Linked DNA regions of Saccharomyces cerevisiae S288C. Changing the gene in region 2 together with the main gene of any one other region gives a genetic interaction. Each region holds a gene or a part of one and is shown on either strand. Other genes may lie near its edges.

Region 1 (4,542 bases), on a different chromosome or scaffold from region 2:
CACAACATTGCCCGTAATGGAATTGGAATTAGAATTAGAATTAGCAGATGGCTGGTGCGGAGTCATAATATTCGCTTGCAACTTCTGTATTAAAGGGCTATTTGCTAACGACTGGTAGGGACTCGTAGCCGTATTGGTTCTGTTCCAGGGTTGCTGCAAACGATCATTCTGAGCATCGGTTGGTAAACTCTGTTGTGTTCTTGCTGCAGATACGTTAGAAACAAATGGCGAGGCGGCCAATGTAGAATTATGTTGTGAATGTTGCTCCGAAGGCGACATGGGGTTTCTCATAAGTACCCTGTTTGACGATTTCAAGTTTGATGTGGCTTTTGATGACTTGTAATAATGTGTAGCCTTTCCACAAATAACGATATAACAATGACAGCAATAAAGACAAAACTTCATATCATCTTTAACGATTAAGATAAATTATTTTATATTATACATATAAACTAACTTTAGTACGCAACAATTCTGAGCTGCACGCATGTATAAGGCGTTTATTCAAGTTCTACTGATACTTTACTCTTCTTCAATTGCTTCCGCTTCTTTTTATTGAGTTTCTTCTTCTCACCAAACATTATCTTCTTTAATTCTTCGGTATCACTTTCCACCTCACTTTGGTCACCTATATCAGCTGTTTCAGCATCCCTCTTCTTCATTGTGTTGTATTTCTCAATGCTTTCATCGCATAGCGTTAAGCAATTTAGCCTTTCGCCACAGTCGTAGACTGCTACTTGTTCTTTTGTAGACATATCCCATACGACAATTTTACCATCAGAACCAATGGTGACTAGGTAGGTACCAAATTCATTCGTATAAAACTTGAAATCTTTAATACGGTTTGTGTGACCCAATAAAGAAAAAGCGGGGCTGATATCCTCCTTGTCGTCATCATCTTCCTGCTTTTCATTTTCTTCAACTTTTTCGAATAACTCCTCACAAGGATAGAAATGAACATTACCATCGCTGATACCAACAGAAAGGTATTCCTTATTATCGAATGGTAAAATATGTGTTTCAATATGCATAAGAGTTTTCCTTTGAAAGACTATTTCTTTAAAAACTTTAGCCGATCCAGTTTCATAAATAAGCACCCTATCCCTTAAACCCACGGCAAAATAATCACCTTTGGCGCCTAACCATCTAACACAAGTCCCGTTTGTATTATATTTTCTTAGTTTTAGTACAGCAGCATTTCTTAGAGTCATCAAATTCCAAAGACGTATAGAATGGTCATCACTAACACTGATGGCAATTCTATTGGTGGGGTGAATATCCACATCATTAACCCTTGCCGTGTGTCCCTTTAAAGTCCCCACTGTTTCCCAGTCCTTTACTCTCCAAACCATAATTTTGTGGTCTTCTGATGCTGATAATAACCATTTGCTATTCTTGCTCCCCTTTGAAACAGCAGCATCCTCACTGGAAGAAGCTGGATGTGAGAATTGTAGAGCAGTAATAGAGCCCTGATGACTTAACAAAGTACCCAGTTCCTTCCTCTTTTGCAAATCATAAATTCTGATGTGCTCGTCATTGGATCCAGAAACTAGGTATCTTCTTGAAACAGCCAAACATTTAATACTCAACGAATGGGCTTGAAAATGAAATATTGGCATAAAATGTGGTGTCTTTGCTGCATCATTTTCCTTTTGATTTGGGATATCTAAGGATAAACACAAAATGTTGTGCTCGTATGAGCCCACAATGATACGAAATTGGTTCTTGTCGCCTATAGCACTCATTTTTCTACACGAATTCTTGACTTGGCCCTTAGGATCTTTTCGAGATGAGGTACCATGAGTTTTCAATTTTTCATGTTCTAAAAAATTTTCGGCCTTGATCTTGAACTTTATAATTCTAAGCAAAAAAAAAATGAAGACAGTATAAGTAGTATTCAGTAACATAAAGAAGATAAAATTCAAAAATGCAAAATAATAAAAAATGAATCTATATAGTGTAAGGATTATGTAGCTAGAAAAATGTCTTTAATTGACTCGCATGTCGTTTAGAATGTTATTGTTTTGAAACTTCGATAACTGCATTTTAAAAGAGGTTTTCATCCTTTCGTTGCCTAGTAGTACCTTGGCTAAACCAATTCTTAAATATTCCTGAACAATTTTGGATAAATTATGAAACATATCATCATCTTTCCCCAAATTCGATAATGTGAAACATAATAAGAGTACTAAAGTTAAGGGGATCCAAAAGAATAGGAGCATCTTATCATTCTGAAAGTTTTGCTTCTTGGAAAAGATTGTGTTGAACCCGACCTGTAAAGCTTCTAATTCATCGTCTTCAGAAGAAGTTTGAGAATCATCCACGGTCATTTGGGCAGAATTATCTGGCCCAATCTCCACAGATTTGCTACCAAGTTCCCAGTTTTTGGGTTTTTTTGGGAACAAGTCTTCATACTTTGGGAGCTCGTCATTTAAACGAGTTAGCATTCTGTTCCATAAAGATCCGTCAGGCTCTATGCTAGTCTTAGTAGTTTTTGGTATTTCATTTGGCTTTGAAGAGAAGTCCTTGATTTTGTGGGTGTTAAAGAACTCCAAAGCAATCTCATCTGAAGATGATTCACAATCACTTATGTCATAACCTGAATCCGAATCTAGGATTGAGAATGACGTATTGTCATTACAGTTGGATTGTTCGGGGGCAAGGGCAGCGGAATCCGCCAATAAATATTTTCTTTCTTGGACATAGTCATGATCAGCATCGTCATCATCAAATAAACTTGAGTTGAAACTTGACTGGGATACATTTCTCTCAAACGGTTGAGTATCACTGGATCCTGTTGTATTCTTCGTTAATCTAGTCAGAATGTCGTCAAACAGACTGGTTTCATAATTAGAATATCTGGTCTTGTTGACAGTATAATTCATCAGGAAGAACTGTTTAGCGATAAAGCCGTTTCTGGTTTTCTTCATAATATTAACGTTGCATTCTAACAATAGTCTTATAATTCTCAAGTCACCATTAATACACGCCATATGTAGCGGAGTAAAACCAAATAAATCTTGGTCGTTCAAATGCGACCCATATTTGATTAGTAATGAGACAAGACTATACCAGTTATTGAATGCTGCCAGATGTAATAGAGTTCTACCCCTAACGTCACACATGGAAAGATTGACGGTAGAGAGATTATTATTTCTCTTAAATGACTTAATAACTTCAGTGATCAATTGTTCATCGTTTATATTTCGCATCATATTCGTGTACGAATTTAAAGAGCTATTCTGTGAGTGTAATCCTGCGTTATTATTAGATGGAGATGAATCACTGCCAACAATCCTTTTAGCAATATTTCTTGCATCTTCCAGTTTACCGTTCATTTTCAGCCCCACAATTTGCAGAGCCAATTCAATTAGTTGCCTATCAGTATCATCAACATAAGTAAAGATTGCTTTCTCACCGGTATACTTGTTTAAGTGCAGAATGTCATTGGTACTATTGCTGGTGGAAACACTACTATTGCTATTATTTCTCATAGACGTTTCACTTGGGTCGACTATGGTTACCAAAACCGGTCCAGGTTTAGATGAAGGCGGTAAATAAGTCACCATCGTAGATTCATTCCAGCATTGGCTGGACAATGCTATATTTTCGCCAAACTTGATGATTAAGCCCTGCTTAAACTTTGAGCCAAGTAGAGTCACTTCTATACCTCCGTTGATGGAACCTTGTGCGGGGATGACACGCTGAATAGAAGGCTTGTTATTTAGCGCCACGGGGACACTATTATGGTTCGATATATCTTTGGAAGAATCGATGAATTTCTGGGGAAGACGGGAAAACGTATTAGGCGTAGACATAAAAGGCTCGTTTACCGAACGCTGCCTCTTGCCAGTGTGTCTCGCAGAGGCCGCACTGAAATCACTAGTTAATGTAGTAAGAGCGGGATTAGATGAACTATTAAAACCTGTGGACGACCAAGAGTCTAGTGAACGATGTAAATTGTTGTCGTTGTTATTAGAAAAATGAATATCTGAAAAAGAATGGTTGCTGTCCTCACTGGAGGAATTTGGTGATGGAAAGTGTCTGTTGTTGTTCATCATTGCGGTATTAGTCTTAATGTTGTTTTTGTTATCATTATCATTGTTGTTGTTATTACAATTGCTATCAAGCATACAGTTCGTAGAAATGACAAAATTTTTACTGTTAGAAGGCAGGGGGAATTCGGATGGGAAGTTTAAGTCACTTTGCGGCGATGAAAAGGATCTAGTGTCATTTGTCATTGGCGAAACCTGGGCATTGCTGGTGCTGGTTGGAGTTGTGGTATTGCTGGCATTTTTCTTGTCCATGATCATTATGGGATCTGTTATAGTTTTCGCCAAGATATCGCCGTTATGGTCCCTTAGAAGGAACAAAACTACAAACCCGTTAGTTGCCTTGTGGTGTCTGCAGTAACAGACGATTCTCGTCGGTAAGTCGAAATTGATACAGTTAGAGTTACCACTCAAACCGTTATTACTAATGATGAAAAGTTGTTTACTATTGAATATGATTGCTCTTTTGTTTTCGTTATTTTGCCAGATG
Region 2 (4,521 bases):
AAGTTTCCCAAGTCCGGTAAGTCGTCGAAGGATGAAAATGGGAACAGGTGGATAGGCGTGTTTGCCTGTGCAGATAATAGAGTTGTCGACTACTCATGTCGCAAGCATTCATTCATAGAATCTTGCATAAGCCCACCCACAATTAATGGAGAAAAGGCATGCCCATTTTTGCCTAGCTCTTTGAAAACTTGTCCCTGTGGCCGGACAGCCCTAGAGGAACTGACTAAGCCTCGTAAGCATTGTGATGATCCGATACCAACCTGCGACTCAAGATGCGGTAAACCACTAAAATGTGGCAAACATTCGTGCCCCTTCACTTGTCATGATAAAGCCTGTATGGAACCCTGCTTGCAAATTGATAGTGTAAAATGTGCTTGTGAGCAAAGTACATTTTCAGTTCCATGTGGATTTCAAGGAAGGCCTCGCTGCAATATTAAATGCGAATCCCTGATGTCATGCCGTAGACATAGATGCACCGATAGGTGCTGCAGTGGTAGGCCATCGGCGATAAGAAGGAAGAAAAACTTGTTCAGAACGCAAGATTTGTTGGATGAGTCTCTTGTGGAAGCAAAACATATCTGCCTAAAACCGTGTAACTTGACCCTATCATGTGGAATTCATAAATGTCAGAGAAAATGTCACCCAGGAAAGTGTCCGCCCTGTTTAGAGAGTGATTCGAACGATCTGGTCTGCCCATGTGGCAATACAGTTGTTCCTGCACCCGTGCGTTGTGGCACGAAGCTACCTACATGTAATCATCCATGTATTAAAGTTGTGCGTGGCGAATCTACGTGTGGTCATAAACCAATGCCACATACCTGTCATTCCTTGGATGTGTCGTGCCCGCCATGTACGGAAACCGTATTTAAACCTTGTAAATGTGGGAAGAAAACTAAAGTGAGAACGGTTTGTTTTCAAACAGACGTATCATGTGGAATAAAATGTGGGATACCACTCTCTTACTGTTATCATACCTGCCAAAAAACATGTCATTTACCAGGAAATTGCCAAAAGGTGTGTAAACAGACCTGTGGGCAAAAAAGGCTCAATTGTAATCATGAATGTCCTAAACCGTGCCATGGTAAGACAGAGTGTCCCGATTTACCTTGTGCCACGCTAGTGAAAATTTATTGTAAATGTGGAAGGATCAAAAAAAGTGTTACTTGTGGCGCAAAAAGTGATAGAGTAAGTGTAACTGAATCTTCCGTGCTGGATTGCAATGAAGAATGTGAAGCTTTGAAACGACTAAAGGAATTGAAGGAGGCATTTGGAATTAAGGAAGAAACCAATAATTTTACAAGTAATGAACTAGATGCGTTAAAAAAACTGGTCTCTGTTGCTACAACATTTGAAGAACTGCAGTTACCGTTTACAGAGGCAGCATTATCAGTATATTCAAAGCAAGAAAGATGGTGTTCACAAATTGAAGCTATTCTTAATAAATTAATGGACGATAAAACACGTTCAAGCTTGCATTTCAAACCTATGAGGCCTCCTCAACGCCACTTCATCCGTGAACTAGCCAAAGCTTACGGCCTATATTCCGAGTCTCAGGACAGAGAGCCCATGAGATCTGTATTTATTAAGAAAGAAGATAATGGCGCAAGCAATAAACCAGTCTTATCATTAGCAGAAGCTTACCCACTATATGAATCATTTAAACAATTGCAGAAGGAAAGGAAAGCACAAGAATTTCAAGCTCGCACCACAGCTAAACTAATCAACTTCGAGGTTCAAGATACGGAACCTAAAGTAGAGGTGGCTAAGAAAAATGGTTTTTTGGTTCAAAATTTGGTTGCTGGAAATACTGCCGAAGATCTAAGGAGATTTTTTGAACCACATCTCAAGCATACGTTAGTAGTGAATCCTCAATACCTAATCCTTGATGATGGCAAAACAGCACTAGTGTATCCTGAAAATTACGAAACAGCATCCGTGAATACCGAACGTGACATGGAGCTTTTGGTTGGACACTTCGATTTTATGGCCAAAGAGGCATTTTTGGCCGATTCCATTTCGTTGTGTTCAACTGAAGAAGAACTTGAAAGAAGGTTGGATACGCCCGTAATTCAAGAGGATAGTCCTGTAATGGATAATAATACATGAACTATAATAGCGTGTCATTATTTATTACGCGGAATTCTAATTAAATAGAAATATCTAACTTTTATTTTTTTTCATCCTATCTCATTTCTTGTTTCTCCCTGTCGTTGCTAAAATACGAGGATCTGCATATGTTTACATATCAACGTTCCCGTAAACGAATGGAGAATACTGAGTGTCACGTTAATAATACGGATATTATAATTTGGAAACCTAGTCAAGTAAAACCAGAAGAGATTTTTCTTTTCTCTTAAGCTTTTTTGGCTTGACCAAACGAAAAGTCCCTCACACCCAAACACTGAAAGTAATTCTTCGTATTTAAATAATTCAAAAGTTATGATGAGCAGGCTCTATGTAAAAAAATGGCCCATAATTTTCCCTAGAACGTTATAAAAACGCGACTAGTGAGGTATTGAGTATGGAGAGTATATTTGGTGGGTTTGGAGATCTAGTTGTTCCTAGGCCAAAGGAGCATCTCGGTCAAACAGACCTTTCCTTCGGTGGAAAATTATTGCCTGCATTGAAAATTTGTGAAGATGGCGGTGAAAGTGGTTGTGGCGGTAAAGTCTGGATCGCTGGCGAACTGTTGTGCGAGTACATACTCGAGAAATCAGTTGACCATCTGCTAAGTAAGACGGTCAATGGTACGAAACAATTTAAAAAAGTCTTAGAATTGGGTAGTGGTACAGGTTTAGTTGGATTGTGCGTGGGGTTGTTGGAAAAAAACACATTCCACGATGGCACTAAAGTATATGTTACGGACATTGACAAGTTGATACCACTATTGAAAAGAAATATAGAACTGGACGAAGTTCAGTATGAAGTTCTTGCGAGGGAACTTTGGTGGGGTGAGCCGCTGTCGGCAGATTTCTCACCTCAAGAAGGTGCTATGCAAGCAAATAACGTTGATCTAGTTTTGGCAGCTGATTGTGTGTATCTCGAGGAAGCTTTTCCATTACTAGAAAAAACACTACTTGATCTCACTCACTGCATAAACCCACCTGTAATCTTGATGGCTTACAAGAAGAGAAGAAAAGCTGATAAACATTTTTTCAACAAGATTAAAAGAAATTTTGACGTTCTTGAAATTACAGATTTTAGTAAATTTGAACATTATCTTAAGGAAAGAACCCACTTGTTTCAGCTTATCAGGAAGTAACCTGACACAGTGAATTTATCTCTTAATGATCCTGATCTTATTATATTTAGTAATGAACTTTTCGATAGACATTTGTAATTCATGAAAAAACGATATAACATTCATTTTTGTAGTGTGGTGTACGCATGGTGGGACTGCTCTTCTTGAGCGAAATTTTGATCTTCAATAGAGTGAGCAACGACAACTCAAGGATAAAGACAGAACAGCGGTAAACATCGTTTGCAAAATAACTAGAGAGCCGGATCGATTTACTTTGCAAAGTTGCGTCCTTTTTCCACGACAGAATATGTCTGCATTATTTAATTTTCGTTCTCTTCTGCAAGTGATATTGTTACTGATTTGTTCATGTTCTTATGTTCATGGGCAGTGGCCGTCTCTCCTAGATCGTTACAAAAATCATGAGGTTTTGGGGGCCTTCTGGAAAATGGCACGTGTTGGTGAAAGGGCCAGTCCATATGTTAGTTTAGCATGTATTTTGATGGCCATCAGTCAATTTAACAGCTGATTGGAAGATACTTAGTCATATGGATTTAAAGTTACGCAAATCAAGGTCATAGAAGGTGCAGTACCTTTTAAAACAAAGAGTATAAGTGGATTCAGACGAAGTGTCTCTTTAATTCTATCGTCTGATAGCGTACAAGTAAGGGTGCTATGAGCTAGCACGCACAGCAAAAATATAAACACTTTTGTATTTTTTTTTATTTTATAGTGTTTTGTGTTGAGTATTCATCTATTCGACCTCTATAGAGATTTAAGAAGGGAATTCATTGTCACAATAAGGACGCATAGTTGTTCATTTTAGACATCATTTACAGCACTTCCGTAAACTACCCCATATTGCGATTGAATACTACCGAAAAGGCTCAAGAATTTACGTGGTGCCCAATCAATTATATAGAATGAGGAACAATGGTAAGTAATGAATAATCATGGTCAGTAATAAAAAAGCAATCTCGTCCATGTTTCTTTTTGAAACTCAGAGCTTGACTCTGTTGCATTGGTATTTCATCATTTGATGAATTATTCACTATTCCATCTTCTTCTTACACAAGTTTACCAATAAATAACTCATCTGAGTTATTCAGACTTTTTATTAGATCAGTTCGGCATATTTAACTATGCAAAAGTTTTACACTGCTAAAAAGTAGTGTAAACAACAAACTGTTAAAAAAATAAAAAGGGGTGAATCCATGGACCAAGAATAGTAAGCTCCATTGGGTTACTCGATCCAGCACGGGAAAGAGCAATCGTCATAACTA

What was found. Genes that interact genetically often act in the same process or in processes that back each other up.
Region 1: mutations in EFM6 (region 2) and MAK11 together harm fitness more than expected from each alone (negative genetic interaction), as found in Saccharomyces cerevisiae (one large-scale study listed by BioGRID).

The regions. Positions count from the first base shown.
Region 1 is NC_001143.9:396,844-401,385, forward strand, and holds MAK11 (Mak11p), read right to left. Parts: upstream 1,908-4,542; coding exon 501-1,907; downstream 1-500. Other genes in the region: anaphase promoting complex subunit CDC16, read right to left, coding at 1-405; SPT23 (Spt23p), read right to left, coding at 1,989-4,542.
Region 2 is NC_001146.8:585,848-590,368, reverse strand, and holds EFM6 (putative protein-lysine N-methyltransferase), read left to right. Parts: upstream 1-2,521; coding exon 2,522-3,262; downstream 3,263-4,521. Other genes in the region: FAP1 (Fap1p), read left to right, coding at 1-2,106; KSH1 (Ksh1p), read left to right, coding at 3,549-3,767. UniProt on the Saccharomyces cerevisiae protein: S-adenosyl-L-methionine-dependent protein-lysine N-methyltransferase that methylates elongation factor 1-alpha (TEF1 and TEF2) at 'Lys-390'.